Caenorhabditis elegans: one gene and its partner. The protein of the gene in region 2 purifies or fractionates together with the protein of the main gene of each other region. This does not show direct contact. Each region holds a gene or a part of one and is shown on either strand. Other genes may lie near its edges.

Region 1 (8,922 bases), on a different chromosome or scaffold from region 2:
CGATTGGCAATGCTGTTCAAGTTCCAGTATCTCCAAAAATGTTGGGAACGTGTCGAGAGAATAATCGAAAAATTTTAAGAATTAAAGTAAGATCTTGTGCCTAGGCCTAAACCGAATCCTAAGCCTAAGCCTTCGCCTAAGTCTAAGACTAAACCTAAAAATGTAACCATGTTCATTAATTTCAGATTCGAACATCAAATGATACAATAACTTTCAAAGTGGACGATCAAATAATTCGACGACCATTTGATTCAACACAAAATAATATCAAAATCCTAATACCTCAAAAAGTTGCTTGCTGTTTAATTCGAGCACTTTTCCTTAATAACTCCGATCTCGATGCCTATACATCAGTTTCAACTAGATTTTTCACTTCATCAAAATCATCATACAAAAGAATTCTGGAAGTTTTTGGATCCACGTCATCTTCTCTTGTTCTGACTACAACTCCATCTACATCAACTTCTAGAACAACTACAAAAAACGACACGAATAAATGGAGTAAGTTCACACTTGGCAAGAATCCAACTGTGAGCAGTAGTACAAGTGAACCGAAAATGGAAAGTTCGTGGACTCATGCAGTGAATAAGGAATGGTCAATCACATTTGTACTTTGTTCTGTTATTGTTTGTACTATTATGCTTTTTCTTGCTGTTTTCGGAACTTTTACAGTTTTCTATCTAATGACTAAGCCAAGAGGTGGTAAATCTCCATTTGCAGTTGATGCTTGAATATGTGATTTAAAATAATATTTCTTTCCAATTTAAAAAAACCCAATAAATTTATCTGAAAATCGAACCGAGATCAAAACATTATTACACATACAAATATACTCGTCTCATCATTAAAAATTCTATAAAACAAGCAAAACATAAAACATGATATAAGTGGAAATCTATATTACAAGAACTCGTCGCGTACTTCATTCGGCACGACGTTGTTGGCAATCGCGTCCCTAATTGTCTCTCCACTGAGAAGTAAAAGTCGAGCGAGGCGTTGTCGTGCAAGAACCGTTCCAACTGATGTAACATAGATCATATCAGACTTCCGAGTTCCAGTGATTTCGCGAGGAATTATTTCTTTGACACCAGACCAATCCTGAAAGTTTTTCACTAGAAACGAAAAGTATTTTCGAACCACTTACCTTCAAAGATTGCAATATTCTACTCCTACTGATCGGATAATCATCGTTGTAGTTTCTCGAAGAGAACAATGACTCGTTAACTAGTATTGGATCCTTGCTTTCTGTAATCTGATCCACCGCATCCTCATCGTCCAAATGAAGCGCATCAAACCGTCCAGACACAGCGATGGAATGAAATGTACGATATGCAATCTGGAATATGTTTTTTGTTGATAGATCTGGAATATTAAAGATCGAGCTTACAAGATGTAAAGGCATCCATTGTGCACTTTTAGTAAGTATTGGCTCAACAATATCTTTTTCGTAGAAAACTCGAAGACTTATGCTTTCAGCTGATGCGAAAGATTGACTGAAATATTGAAAAATTTTTCCAACACTAGATTTTTAAATTTACCTTGCCAAATATCTGAGAAATTCGAGCATCATTGTTCCCATATCGAAATTTCTCAATATCGGAGCTTCATCTGCATCTTCTTTCTTCGAAATCCATTGCTGAAACATTGTTGTTGGCATCAGAAGACTTTTTTCATAATCAATAGTGGGATTTCCCAGGAGATCTCCGAGCCCTAGACGAATCAAAAGTCTTCCCAGCTGCCAAATCGACAAAACACTTGATGGGAGCACATTTTCTCGTTCAAGCCAAACTTTCAGGATGAACAACATTTTTATAATCTGATCTCCATAAAAATATACGTATCGTCTCAGGAAAAGCGCATCTTTGTGAGATTCAATCAAATCTTTCAATTTGAGAAACTTGTCAAACTGCCTTTCAATGGAGTTTTCGATCTCCTCTTCTAAACGAGCAGCAATTGGATATTTGCCTCGTAAAACTGCGTCATTTTTATCGAGCATCTGCAACAAAAAATTAATATATTTATTTCATAATTTTAACTTACTAATTGTCGCCTCAAATCACACAATGCATCCCAAGCAACCCAGGGAAGACTCTGTCCAATGCATCTTCCAGCCTTATTTATCTTTGGCTGCACATATGCCACGAAATACCATTGCCGAATCTTTTCATGCATTGCCTTCGTACATTTCAACCGAGTGTTCTTTCCATCATTCTCAATGTTGATTTCTTCTCCACCAAACTCTTCAAAGAATTTTGCACGAAATACAGCATACAATTTTTCATAACGAAGCTCAACGACCTTATCAGTGTGATAAAATGAATAGTCGTCTCTCTCCATTCCAGCTAATCTCTTGATACTTGCAGCATGTCCAGACACAACTGAAGCTTCGTCTTCAATTCCATATTCATCCAAAAGTTGTTGCATTCGATCAACGTATTCATCGCGAAGAGTCAATGTTTGTACAAGTTTTATTTCATTTCCGAAGAAAACATCAACGTCTTCTGGACAAATCAGTTTATCATATTCTCTTTCGAATACACTCCCGCGTGTTTCAAATTCTTCCAAAACTTCTTCAACTTTTCGAGCTTTTCGGTGCAATTGTCCATTTAATCGGGTACTGTAGTACATCGGTTTTCCACCTGACATCATATAATCAGGTGTCATTTCGCATTGCTCGAAACTTGACAATGGTTCCGCGGGAACTCCACTTTTCGGAAAATCTACAGCTACTGCACATTTGAGCGCGATGGCGTGACAATTTTCGCTGAAAAATAAGATATTGGCTTAACATGGATAATTTCAAGGAACATACTGGAAAAGTCCGTGAAGATCAGCATAAGCCAAATGAGCGTGACTCATTCTTCCAATTGAATCCTGTTGAAGGTATCGAAGGAAGAATTCAACCATATCATCTGTAGTAGGTTCTTTGTCTTCTTCTGCAGCTGAACTACTCGGAAAAACCATTGCTTCTTCATTATAATCGAGTAGCATTTCTTGATCCCATATTATAGAATACTCATCTCCATCCAAATCTGAACCTGCCATTTCATCGGGATGTGGTCGTGGGCCATGTTGTGGAAATACTACAACATCGACTAAATGAGCTAATGCTGGTTGCCAAACTGCGTCGAAAACTCGAACATCTCCAGGAACGTGACACGGATTTTTGGTAATCAAAACTTTGCCTGTTTTCAATATTGGACGGTTACTGGTTTGTCGGATACTTGGTGAATACTGGATGAAAACCTGTCCGTACTGTAAAAGTCCAGTCTCATCGACAACACCGTACATTGATCTTCCCAAACTTGGAGGCAAGAAAATTTTAGCTTTAGAAATGTGATGGATGATGTTGTAGCGATAAATAGAGAATAGCATATCTCGTATCAATGGATCTACACTCAATTCGAACCCGGCTCGTTTGCTTGCTGCGTTCCAGTCGATTGCCAAGTTTGTGCGATTGACTAGCTCTTCTGCTGCTTGATTTTCATTTATGAGCATATCTAAAATTAGGAGATTATGATTTGTAACCATACAGTAACTACATACTACTCAGAGAACATAGTTCTCTTTCCAAGTAATAATGAACACGATTTGTGATCCTTCTGTGAGAGCTTGCAGATTGTTTTTCCGACACTTGATCCAGGATTGTAATGAATGGACGGTTGAGACAAACTGGAGATGGCATAGCGTATTTTACTACTTCGAGGTATTCATCTTGCAGCTCTCCACCACCTTCACCAAACTTTTGCTGACTTTTTCTGAAAATTGATCATATAATTTGTTTGATAGATCATCACTACCTGAAGATAACTTTAGGCATATTTATAATATCATCGATTGTTGGATCAATAACTAGAATTCCTTTGAAACCTTTAAATCGCACTTGGAAACAAGCTGGTACTTCCTTCAATTGGAGAATCTTAGATATATGTGTTGCCAGTTTGATAGAAATTCGACCACAACCATCAGAAAAACAATATTTGTTCTCTACACCACCTTCAATGTCAGGTTCAACGATCCAGTGATGTCGTTCAAGACGTACCTGAATATTTTCGACTATATGAATATTTTTAACACTAGAATATACCGTTGGTTGTGCTTGTGTAAAGCATTGTCCCATTCGACTCATCATCTTTGGAACACTAATCGCATCTCGGAAATCTCCCATCCATACTCTAATATCTTCTACAGTTCCTGTGACTTCACCAGTTAATGCATTGACTCGAGGAGCGTATAAATAACATCCTTGATCACGCATTTGAGAATTACTCCATCCTAGAAAACTGTAGACACGATCAGCAACTTGAATTCCATTTTTGAGAGTCAAATAAATTCCTTCGGTGACAATATTCGACATGTCTGGAAACTTAGATAATATATTTAAAAATATTTAAAGAATTTCTTACGATCTATATTATTGATGGAAAAGTCGCGAATAGCGAGCCGGCCCAGATTGTCATCTCGGAACACACAACGAAGAGCATAATCAGGTCCAAATCTTCTAACAACTCGATTTACCATCATTACTTCTGGAGCCATTAGCAGTATTCGAGATGGTGTTACAATAACTTTAGCCACTGAAACACAATTCTTCGGCAATGGCTTTGCAAGGCCTACATCTTGAAGGCTTTCTCCTTTCAGAAGTCTTTCGTATTGAATCTTTCTTGATTGATACATTGTTGTGAACGCGGTAACTACATCGATTTGACGACGTTCATCAAATGCATTCAAAAGTTGTTCGAGAGTCTCTTCTGTGGCTTGAGAGCATTCTTTCATTCCCCTACGAACTAATTTCAGAAAGAGCGGCTCGTGTACTAATTCCATTGGCTTTTTCGTGTCATCAACATCATCGTCATCATCTTCATCATTGTCATTGTCTGAACTTGGAATATTTTCATCAGTTGCGTCGAAAAGTTGGTCCGTAAATACACTTCCGCGTGTGATTAGAGCCTGGAGAGCATAATTCGCTCGGAAAGATCCCAGAGAATGGAAAGCCGGGGATGGTGCAAGTTTTCGGCGAATTGAAAAAATGGAGCCGAACATCACTTTTGCTTTGCTTCGAGCAGAAAGTCTAGTAACAATATCCATCAATTGTGTAGACGATACCGAATCGTTATCATCATCTTTTCTCATTGTCAACCGGATCCAGGAGCTTTGCGAGAAAGCTTCAGAAGTACAACCGACACCTCGGCCCTCAGCATCGCCAGGCCAACTCAATACTCTTGTCTGAAAATTTACAAGTTTTTAAAAGTTATTTGCATACCATATCACCCATTCTGTGCACGTTTCCATATTGAGAACCTTCGACTTTGATGGGTGAAAAATCGTATTTTTCGGAATTCCTTCCCAGAGATGCGGTGGATTTTTCATTTGTATATAAATACTGTTCGTAGTTTCATGAGACATGTCGACAACAATTCGAACAAACAAATTATAATATAGATTAAGACGAAATCCGGCATGATCCAAACCATCATCAGCGAATTCGGCTAATCGAACTCCGAAATATACCACTGCCAGTCTTTTGTCATGCTCAAATCTCGCATACGAGAGGTATTTATTGCTTCCTGCCACTTTGAATGAACTGTTTTCACGGGATGCATCTGCATTATGGTGTGACTGAAGCTTTCTTAAAAACAAAAATCTGATTAGAAATTCTGTAGAATATGTGCAACTTACACACTACAAACTGTGTTTTCTTGACTGATGAAATCTCCTCTAACAAGGAAAAGTCCTGAATTAGGGCAGTTTCCAATCGCAATCGCAGAAATATTTATATCCATGTGTTGGGGTCTAAATTATAACTTGAGTATATAAAAAGCGGATGAGTATTCTATTACGTTATTTTTGTGAAAAGCGTATGCATTTTCGGGACTTCCAAAAATACTTGATCATGGAGCATTCCAGTTATTCTAGATGTGAAACTTGATGCGAACTCGGAGAACAATTCATTTTCATCTTCTACTTCACCGTTTGGCGTCAAAACTAAATGAGCATCGATGACGTATGATTTATCTTCGTACGCAGCTCGTGGCACCATCCCCACCTTGATCCAGTTTACCTCGTCAACTTTAGACTGAAATTAAATTGTTTCAAATACGGCCAATTAAAAAATCGCTTACCAATTTCAAGTGTGTTTTCAAAACATCTTTTATATTTTCCATGTGTGCTCGGCAATATCCAAAGCAATCATTATTCATGCTGCCAATGAGCTTAGCATCGAAATTCAGCTCAATCGCCTGTTTTTTACTAAACTGTCTCGTCTTCGCAACTGTTTCCGATTCTTCTGCAGCGGCCCATAACATCCGCACGAGTTTTTCTTGTTCTTCGATATTTACACCACCTCTGTGCTTCGTTTTCTCATAAAGAATGTGAGTTGATGGGAGAGAGTGCCGTTTTAGAACAGAACAGTCGACTGGTTTTGAAGTAGAAGGCCTTTGTGACTGTAGCAGGTAATCACGAAGATATCCACGATTCACTGGATACGAAAAATTGTTTAAATGATTTCCTGGAAAAGCCGACGATGAAGAGTGAACAGGCTGTTCTTGTACGTCAACTTCCGATTTAGATTTTGAATTTCGATCCATCCGAAACGTTGTCAATAGCATCTTGTTTGAATGCCCAATTGTTAAGGTGTTCACTGGAGTGCATTCTGTTTTTCGATTTGGTAAAGTTCCAGACGAAAAATTCGATCTACCACGTGGAAATGTTGATTGACTCTGAGGAACTCCTCTGGAAAAAAACATTGTTTCATTTGACTACCGTTTGCTCACCGAATTTCAATTACCTTGGATGCTTCGGCCTAACAGAAGTTGTAGCATCATCGCTAGAGTCATCATTATCAAACGGGAGCATTTTGTGAAAGACTTTTTGAAAATGGCATTTATTTTACGAAAAAAATGAGAAACAATTTTATTCAAAAATTTGATGATGTATGTTCGCTCCATTGACAATTAGCAACGAGACTCCGCAGTTACGGCTAAAATTTAAATTTGATCAAGCATTAAATCCTTTTTATTTTGTTTTTAAGCGCCTAGGCGCGCCTTTATGTTATTTAGTTAAAGTAGCTGTAACTACTCCGTGTAAGCTGTAAAATTATAATCTAAAAATAAGACTATAATCTCAACACTTTTTCACAACAGTTCCATTGCAATTAACGTCATTATTGAATTTCTATTTTACAATTCTTGTTGCTTAACTTAAGTTCTCTACTTACTAAACAAATATACGAAGCCTTTACAGCATGAGCGCGATCTCGCCTGATACAAAAAGTTTTGCGATTCCGACATTGGCTGATGAAGGTTCCTCAAGCAAGCCAGCATCATCTTTGTGAGTTTAATAAATAACATTTCTTTTTCAAACTACAATTTTTCAGAGATTTGCCGAAACACGAGTCTATTCGTTTCAAGCCGATTAAAACACTTGCAAGTAGAATTGATGGATCGGAGTATTATGACGAGGCGAGCATGGAGAAAGTGATGTCAGTTTGAGACCAGCATATATATTAATATGTTATATTTTTAGGGAAATGCTTGAAATCGGCAGAACCGATGAAGCTGTAGCTTACGCGGATACATTATACTCTAATATAATTGATGATGAACAGCAAGATATTGTCACCATCGCTGAATACGTAAAAATTCTCGTCGTTCTCCGTCAATGGCGGCGTATTAGCCATATTATTGCTCGTGGGAACTATCATCAGATTCACATTGTTTTTGCTTATTATGCCGCTACCGCACTTTTCCAACGGAAATTATACGAAGATGTAGCTGAATTATCGGTCGGTCATCTTCTTCCAAGTAATGGCCAAATTGGACCTCTTCCTGTTCGAACACTTTCACAAGTGACGGGGAGATATGTCGAGGAAGAAAGAATGAAGTACTCATTTGCAAATATGGCCGAATTGGATAATAGCTCTAAAAAGCTCAGAATGGTTCCAGCTCTTATGATAACCATAGCAGAAAGTTTTTTGAAATTGATGAATCGTGATGCTGCAATGATTTGTATTAATTACGCGCTGAGTCTTGTAAGTCATCTTTTATACATGATTTGACCGTGTTTTATTATTTCAGGATAATACAACTCTCCATGTCGAACGATTAATGGCAAAATACAATCTGGTTGAGCCTGCGATGTGGGAGAAGTACAGAAAAGTCAGAAATGAACAGCTGAAGTTACACGAAGGAAATCATGATCCACGAATTCTTATGGAACGTGCTCAACGTGCCTACGAGATGGGTCGATTTCGAGAAACAAAAAAAATCACTGACGAGCTATTTGATCTATTTGGACCACATCCTGAGTGCATTATTCTTCGTATTCACTGCCTAACAATGTTAAAGGATTCTCGATCTCTGCTTGAATTAGGTCATCAACTAGTTAGTGATGATCCTCATATTCCACTTCCATGGTATTGTGTTGCTATGTATTATTATAGTATTGGAGCAAACTCAAGAGCTCGAAATTTCATCAGTATGTTTCCCATTTCATTGAGGTTTAAATAGAGCTTCTTTAGGTAAATGCACGATGATGGATTCGACGTTTGCTGAAGGATGGGTGGCTTTTGGTCATATTCTTCACTATGAAGTTGAACACGAACAGTCCATGAGTTGCTATTACAGAGCGTCGAAACTTGTGGATAAAAGTTCTGAACCGTTCTTGTACACTTCTCTTCAGTACAGTACGCATAGTCAGAAGCTGAGCAAGAAGTTCATGGGAGAAGCAGTTGCTCGGGCACCGAATGACCCTCTGATTCGTCACGAAGAAGCTTGTGTAGCCTATACTGCAAAAAGTTACGCGGAAGCCGATATTTTATTCAGAACTGTTTTGTATATGGTTACAGAGACCGATGAAATCATTCCAATTGAAGAAGTCTTGAAAAAGTAAGTATCTAATTCGATGATTATTTGAGAGAAAAAT
Region 2 (8,018 bases):
TAGACGCAGAGAAAGCAGCTAAAGGAATTGAAAATACTGGACCCAGTACTTCAGGATCAAGTGCTCCCGGAACTATCAAGAAAACGGAAGCTTCACAATCCGACAAGGTGAAGCCGGCAACTGAAGACGAACTTCCTCCTGCGAGGCTACCGGATAATGTGCGAAGATTTCCAGTCGTCGGCGTTGATTTCGAAAATCCGGAAGAAGAATCGTGTGAACACAAAACCGTAGAGTCAATAGCTGGTTTTGAACCACTCGAACATCTATTCCATGAATCATACCATCCAAATACGGCCGGTAACATGCTGCGTCAGGATTATCACACTGATTCGGTGAATTTGGTTTGAAATTTTAAATTTTGGAATTGAAAGTGAACTTTTTATATTATATGCGGGACCCCTCAATCTACTCACCTTCCTAGGTGTAATTTTTCTAATAATTATTCCTATTGCTATAGTTTCTAATTATATTTCTATATTATCAATATTATAATGTTTCCTCGCTGAAAACCTGCGTATTCATTCGTTGCCAGTGGTAAGTTATATTAATTTTCATTCAGATTTTTAGAGAAATATTTTGAGTATTTAGCTATCGTTATTAAAATAATGATTTTCGTATTGTTCTTAACATTCTGTTAGGTGACTATTTTCTTGTATCGTTGAAGTCCATGCTTCAAAAACAACGACTTTTTTGGCTTAAATACGCTTTCAACGTCGAAAATATTGCCTTAACATCACTTTGGGCAAATTTCTTATTTTGAATTCGATATGCTCGTTTTATTAGCTTCCAGAAAATATAACATTCGACCCATAACTCTCTGATCACCAAAAATAAGAACTCCTAGTAAGATCAAAAACTATCGGGAAATGTTGAATGTATTTTCAATATTTAACTTTCAGGAAGTGAAAATAGCTGAACAAGAGGCAAAAGCCTTCGTTGACCAGTTGCTTAATGGACAAGGTGTATTACAAGAGTTTATGAAGCAATTCAAAGTACCATCGGACAATTCCTTTGCTGATTATGTAACCGGACAGGCCGAAGTTTTTAAAGCACAGATTGCGTTACTGGAGCAGTCGGAGGATTTTCAACGAGTTCAAGCGAATGCAGAGGAAGTCGATCTTGAACACACTCTTGGTGAAGCGTTTGAGCGATTCGGGCACGTTGTAGAAGAATCGAATGGTTCTTCTAAAAATCCAAAAGCCCTGAAAACTCGAGAACAAATGGTGAAAGAAACTGGCAAAGACACTCAGAAGACCCGCAATCATGTGCTTCTACATTTGGAAGCTAATCATCGTGTGGTGAGTAATCTTTTTTATTTTTTATTATGTGATTAAAATGTTAATTTTTCAGCAAATCGAGCGTCGTGAAACGTGCCCGGAGCTACATCCAGAGGATAAAATCCCAAGAATTGCTCATTTTTCCGAAAACAGCTTCTCGGATTCGAATTTTGATCAAGCTATTTATTTGTAAACCTAAAACAAAACTTTTAGAAGATTTTCTTCTTACTGACCCTCCAATTTTCAGATAATTTCAATGTTTTAAGTTTTCTCTTCAAAGTATCATTCACTTTCTGTATAGTGTTTTGTTTTTTAACAAACTATTGTTCGATTATTTTGTATATTCATATTATAGCTCTCAACTTCCCGATTTTCCACGTATATATGTATATTTTGCCGGGTGAAAAATAGCAATTCCCTATGAATGTATCCCCTTCCATCTGTTTTCTTACTCAGAAATTGTAATTCACATTGCGGGTCATCACTAATCCTATGGGCTTTAACACAATTCTCCCATAAATTAATTGTACTTACCAATTTTTTGTTTAATTATTTAGATTTGTAACATTGAAATTGGTGATAATTCCAAAGAAAAATTATATTCTCCGATACATAGAATCTAGGCGCATTCGAATTTACATTGTTTTTCTAAAATTTCAGTTAAAAAATGAGCGCAGATGAGCCGTCTCCAGAAGACGAAAAATATCTGGAAAGTCTACGAGATTTGCTGAAAATCAGCCAAGAATTCGATGCAAGTAACGCAAAACAGAATGACGAACCAGAAAAAACAGCAGTTGAAGTGGAATCGGCTGAAACCAGAACCGACGAATCTGAAAAATCAATCGATATTCCACGTGAACAGCAACTTTTACCCTCCGAACGTGTTGAGCCTTTAAAATCAATGGTGGAACCAGAATACGTGAAAAAAGTGATAAGGCAAATGGATACAATGACTGCTGAACAGCTAAAACAAGCGTTGATGAAGATTAAAGTGTCCACAGGGTAAAATTATGCTAAATTCATTCAAACTTCTTATTTTCCTAACAGAACCCAATTTCGTACATTTAAGATATAGCTTTGCTTCATTTTTGATAGTTTTGTTAAAAAGAAACAGCATTTTTTGAATCATTTTGCGTTAAATATAGTCATCCGTAAAAGAAATAATGTAATTTTCTTACTAAAATTTCGAAATTAACTTAAATTATAACTCTAATTTCAGCGGAAACAAGAAAACTCTTCGAAAACGGGTTGCACAATATTATCGAAAGGAAAATGCATTATTGAATCGAAAAATGGAGCCGAATGCCGATAAAACTGCACGCTTTTTTGACTATTTAATTGTATGATTTTCAGAATTTCTGGAAAAGAAATACTTTAGTTATTAATTATTTCAGGCAATTGATTTCGAGTGTACGTGCGTCGAGATTATATACGATTACCCACACGAAATCATCGAATTACCGGCAGTTTTGATCGACGTTCGGGAAATGAAAATTGTAGGATTTTTTCATCTTTGAAAATGGAATATGTCGAATTACGCATGTCGTGTACTCCCCGCGGACAAGGATTGAACAGTTCTCAGTTGAAATTCTTGATTTTGGATTTTTCCTCTGGGGTTTCGGCTCGAATTTTATTTTTTTTTTTCGTGTTTTCCCGCAAGAAAATCATTTTTTCCGGGAAAAGGTGACAAACGTTTCGTCATCCTATCGAAATCTGGAATATAAAAATGTATTCAACAAAAAACGTTTCAAATACAACATTTTTCGTCTTTTTTGGGTTTCTTATTTAGCTATAAAATTTGTTTCGCTTGTGAAGAAAATATTGGAAAAAAATAGAAAAATCCTTCTCCCATTTTTCAATTTAAGGCAGATGGAAGTTCTTTGGTGTATTATCAAGTTATAAAAACTGACTAAACTGAAAGCTTTTTTTGTTTTGTTTTGTTTATTTATTTTAGGAATATAAATAAAAAACGAAAAATATATAACTTTATAATATCCATCGTCAAAATAAGCATATTTAATTTCCAGATCAGCGAGTTTCGAACCTATGTCCGACCTGTCAGAAATCCGAAGCTCAGCGAATTTTGTATGCAGTTTACCAGTAAGACACTAATGTCATTTTTAAAATGTAAACCCTGTTGTAGAAATTGCCCAAGAAACAGTCGATGCTGCTCCATATTTCCGAGAGGCTCTTCAACGGCTGTACACATGGATGCGAAAATTCAATCTCGGACAGAAAAATTCCAGATTCGCATTTGTTACTGATGGGTAAGGAATCGAAGACGATTTTTTGTTCACTAAAACTTCAAAGTTGTGCATAACGAACTATTCAGACCTCACGATATGTGGAAATTCATGCAATTTCAATGCCTTTTATCGAATATTCGAATGCCCCATATGTTCCGAAGTTTTATCAACATCAAAAAGACATTCAAAGAGAAATTCAATGGACTTATCAAGGGAAATGGAGTAAGTTTTTAAGGTTCAAATTTTAATTAAAACCTCAATTCTCTTCAGAAATCCGGAATTGAAAACATGTTAGAACGTCTGGATCTGTCGTTTGTTGGAAATAAACATAGTGGATTGGATGATGCAACGAATATTGCAGCGATTGCGATTCAAATGATGAAGTTGAAAATTGAGTTGAGAATTAATCAGAAATGCTCGTATAAGGAGAATCAACGGAGTGCTGCGCGAAAGGATGAAGAGCGAGAGGTTCGAAACAGACTACGTCGTTTTCACCCGATGGGTTGACTCTCCCATTCGGTCTCGGGTGTCAACAAGTGATTCCATGTTTTGAAAAAAGCTCTTCCCTCAACCCTTAAAATTTCGATATGAAATTGTTTCAGTGCATTTTTCACTAATTTGGAGACCTGTTGAATTGCTCTAAATGTTTTTTTGCAAAGTTCAATGTTTTTCAGAACGGTTATAAGTAGGTGAACACTCTGGGAGATTTTTGGACTTTTTTTTGTTGTGAAAATCTGAACATTTTTGGATCAAGTGGAGTGAAGAAACTTTCAGATTTTTTTCAAAAAATTACAAATTTTTGAAAAATCTCCCAGAGTGTTCACCTACTTCTAAACGTTCTGAAAAAACATTAAAGTTTGAAAAAAACGCATTTGGAGCAATTCTACAGGCCTCCAAAGTAGTGAAAACAGGCACTGAAACAATTCCAGATCGAAATGAAGTCTGACGATAAAATGGAAACCTTTCCTTCTTGTTAGGAAAATTAGGAAATAGTTCATCACAAATTTCAATTAAAAAGTTATTAAATTTTTCAGTTAGAAGACGCTGCAAACGTGGATCTTACATCAGTCGATATCTCTCGTCGTGATTTTCAACTTTGGATGCGTCGTTTACCACTGAAACTGTCCTCTGTGACACGACGAGAGTTCATAAATGAAGAGTATTTGGATTGTGATTCATGTGATGATTTGACTGATGATAAGGTGAAACATCTACATTCTTGTGATATTTATGAAATTTTCGATGAAAAAACTTCAGCTAGTTTTACAGATTCAAAGTGTTTGATTTGCTAGGCGAATTTTGGCAAAAGTATACTTATTGATGTAAACATTTTCCCTATCAATTTTGTGTCTTAGCCAACGAATTTCCAAATTTTATTTCAAAAGTAAAATTCCATGTCAAATTTTACATTTTTAGTTTAAAAATTATGTTTCTTCCAAGCCCACATTTTTCATTGAAACTGGTATAGTTGTATTTGATTCGCCCCGAATAAATAATTTTCTGTTTCCATGTTTTATACACACAAAAACTCAAAATTTTCAGAACGACGAGGCGGCATTCCAGGAAAAAATGGCAATTCGAGAGTATTTGGAGAATAAACAGACGGAAGATTTCGCGAAAATTGCTGCTGAGCGGGGAATTTTTAAAATTGGGTAATGGACTTTGGATGGAATTTTGAACAAAAAAATCTAGTTTCTGGCGTTTTCAGTGAAATAAAATCATATCAAACTGCAAGACCGATAATAGAGGATGATGACGTGGATGTTGAAAGTGAAGAGGAAGATTATGGAACTGAATTTGAAATGTTGGAAGTTGTGGTGAGAATGTTGAGAAAAAACACTTCAAAAATATCAATTTTGTTTTTAAAAATCAACGCCACGATTCGATGAATCGAAATTCAAAAATTCTCCGAAAAAGCGGAAAACTCTGCTTTTGAAATCAGAAATTTGCAATGTTTTCCGGGATAATCGAAAATTTCTTTCAAAAAAAAATTAATGTAGGTATAAATTTCAGATTCATCGTGGTGTGGATTTTAAAAATCCGCGAGAGAAAAAAATTCTGAATAACTAAGCTTTTCGATTTTCGTATAATACAAAACCGAACTTTTATTTTGTTTTCAAATTTTAATAAAATTCGAGCAAAAAACCAAATCGATTTGGAGTTTTAATAATTAATTTTTTCGTTCAGGAAAGAATGCCTCCAGTTAGTTCTACGTTACACACTGAAGTCGATTTAGATGCTGTATGGGAACGAGATGGTGGAAGTGATTCTGAAAGAGGTACGTCGAGGGAATTGCAATATGGAAATTGCATTAGAAAAAGCTTGAAATTCTGTTTGATTAAAATGTCAATTCAATTGCTCCCAAAGTTTAAATTATTGAATAGCACTTAAAAAACATAATTGTGAAAATTCAGAAAACCTCTCAAATGCTCCAAGTCTCCACGAGTTTCCATCGTCATCCACATCATCACCACATGCCACGTCAGAACATGTGACGTCATCATCACCACTTCATATCGACGATGACGTGGACCGCGTGTTGAATGCGCCGCCCAAAAATTCGTTGGCATCGTCTTCAAATCGATCTAGTTTCTAGATTTTCTTGTATACGAATTTAATTATTTTTGCAGGTTTTGTAGTATTCGAGTATTTCATTTTCATTTTTGATCTCAATTTTTTTTCGCTCCAATCTTTTTTCTCCTTTAAATCGCGTTTATATGAAATTTGTCACATGTTTTATTTAGGTTATACACGGATGACGTTTCAGATGGTATTTATTTGTATTTCTTTTGGAAACCCGTTGAAAATAGGAAAAAACAACAATAATGTACAGAAAATGATAGGAAATGAGAAGAATGAGCAGTTAAACTAGTTATTTGTTGCCCGACACATTTGAAATCCCCACGAAGCCAGGAGAAGCCACATTGGCAAAAAAACCATCCCATACGTATTCCGATTTGCAACTTCTGATTTCTCCAACTCTCCACTGATTTTTTCAACGATGAAGTATATGAAGAGCGTGATGCATGTGAGACGGAATATGTTGAGAATTACTCTGAAAAAAAAATATATATTGCATGTTCAATTTTGAATTTTCTGTTTTCACAGATGATTCGCATTTGGTCTGTCGCAAGTAGGAACACGTAATTTGCGTTCAACGGGCTATAATTTCGCAGTTATGTATTCCTACGGACTGGTCTCGCCACGATCTTTCCGGCGGCCGCTTCATTTTAATAAGAGTTTCAGAGTTGTAAAACCATTTTTGGAAAGACCACAAGAATCTTGAATTAAGCCAATATTTAAAAAATTTATTGCTGTGAGAACTATTTAAACTAATCTAAACGTCTTTAGGTACCAGAAAAGTTTCAGAAAAATGCAAAACAGAGACAGTTTTTCTGCGTTAGAGTTGTAAAAAGAAGGTTATTTCAGGCATTTAACTCGAACTCCAAAATTTTGATTTTTGCTCCAGGCATACGGTACCTGATCTCGAAACCATAAATGCGAAAAAATTGTGCGCCTTTAAGTGAGTTCTGTAATTTCAAACTTCAATTTTTGAAAAATTTCCATTGATTTCTTATGAAAATCGATCAAAATTCAGCAGCAGAGGAATTTTGAAATTTCAGTACTAAATATTTAATAAAGGTACACGTTTCTACATTTAACGACAAGTTCTCTTTGGTGCAAAAATTGCAAAACCGCGACTCCAGGTTTGCCAACAGTTGTTTATATATTTCATCAAACACAAATGAAAATTTTAAATTAAAAACAGGTTCAAAACTTACCTAACAGTAGGACCTCTATAATCCTTAAATTCGACACATGATCGAAGATAAATGATGAATACGAAAAAATAAGAAAATGCAAGTCCAACGAACAAAGGAGATGCCACCCACATATATGAGATTGATACTGTTTCGTGCAGTTTTAGACACTGAAATTATAACTGTTTTAGATGAACTTATTTATAACTGAAAAATAATATTCAAAATGGTTTACTTTCGTAAGCTTTTTTTCAACATACCAACATGACCGAAGATACGATAATTGCTGCAAAATGAACCCATAATTCGAACAATGTAATGTCAAACCAAGTTGTCATCTCTCGAAGTGTTAGAAGCACCATACTAAAATTCTGAAACTCGACTTTTGTACAAAAATTCTTAGAGGATATAAAAAATTAAAGGAACATATCAACCAAATTTTTTAATTTATCATCTTAAAGTCGTTGCAACATGTGCTTTGATAGCATGACGCCACTAGTTTTTTTTGCAGGACTTCGAAAAACTACGTAATATCAGTGATAGTGTCAGTTTGAATTTGATCACGGCCCGAGAAGTGGTACCTGTACGCAATTTGTCTACCGTACCACTGGCTGCGTTTATGCATTTTTCTCAAAAACGTCACCTTAGTTTTTTAAAATTTGGAAGACGAAATGACCAAAAAAAAAGTTATATAATTTTCGTAGGTGAATTTTTTCCATACCTTCTGTTTGAAC

What was found.
Region 1: the proteins of eri-1 (region 2) and rrf-3 purify together in Caenorhabditis elegans (affinity purification with mass spectrometry; 3 studies listed by BioGRID). This does not show direct contact.

Annotation. Positions count from the first base shown.
Region 1 is NC_003280.10:8,160,491-8,169,412, reverse strand, and holds rrf-3 (RNA-directed RNA polymerase), read right to left. Parts: upstream 6,949-8,922; 5' UTR 6,856-6,948; coding exon 6,788-6,855; intron 6,733-6,787; coding exon 6,123-6,732; intron 6,077-6,122; coding exon 5,841-6,076; intron 5,794-5,840; coding exon 5,680-5,793; intron 5,630-5,679; coding exon 5,272-5,629; intron 5,227-5,271; coding exon 4,407-5,226; intron 4,360-4,406; coding exon 4,088-4,359; intron 4,043-4,087; coding exon 3,801-4,042; intron 3,759-3,800; coding exon 3,547-3,758; intron 3,501-3,546; coding exon 2,813-3,500; intron 2,765-2,812; coding exon 2,041-2,764; intron 1,997-2,040; coding exon 1,539-1,996; intron 1,494-1,538; coding exon 1,388-1,493; intron 1,337-1,387; coding exon 1,145-1,336; intron 1,099-1,144; coding exon 901-1,098; 3' UTR 762-900; downstream 1-761. Other genes in the region: T05C12.11 (uncharacterized protein), read left to right, coding at 1-86, 186-731; emb-27 (Cell division cycle protein 16 homolog), read left to right, coding at 7,244-7,329, 7,376-7,480, 7,525-8,029, 8,076-8,475, 8,519-8,885.
Region 2 is NC_003282.8:413,878-421,895, reverse strand, and holds eri-1 (3'-5' exonuclease eri-1), read left to right. Parts: upstream 1-1,937; 5' UTR 1,938-1,944; coding exon 1,945-2,279; intron 2,280-2,496; coding exon 2,497-2,617; intron 2,618-2,671; coding exon 2,672-2,773; intron 2,774-3,304; coding exon 3,305-3,377; intron 3,378-3,420; coding exon 3,421-3,544; intron 3,545-3,609; coding exon 3,610-3,745; intron 3,746-3,793; coding exon 3,794-3,991; intron 3,992-4,557; coding exon 4,558-4,725; coding exon of another isoform or gene 4,726-4,815; exon of another isoform or gene 4,816-5,028; intron 5,029-5,065; coding exon 5,066-5,175; intron 5,176-5,231; coding exon 5,232-5,340; intron 5,341-5,710; coding exon 5,711-5,801; intron 5,802-5,937; coding exon 5,938-6,119; 3' UTR 6,120-6,261; downstream 6,262-8,018. Other genes in the region: Phosphatidylinositol 3,4,5-trisphosphate 3-phosphatase and dual-specificity protein phosphatase daf-18, read left to right, coding at 1-332, 900-1,298, 1,351-1,470; T07A9.12 (uncharacterized protein), read right to left, coding at 6,392-6,578, 7,306-7,454, 7,545-7,646.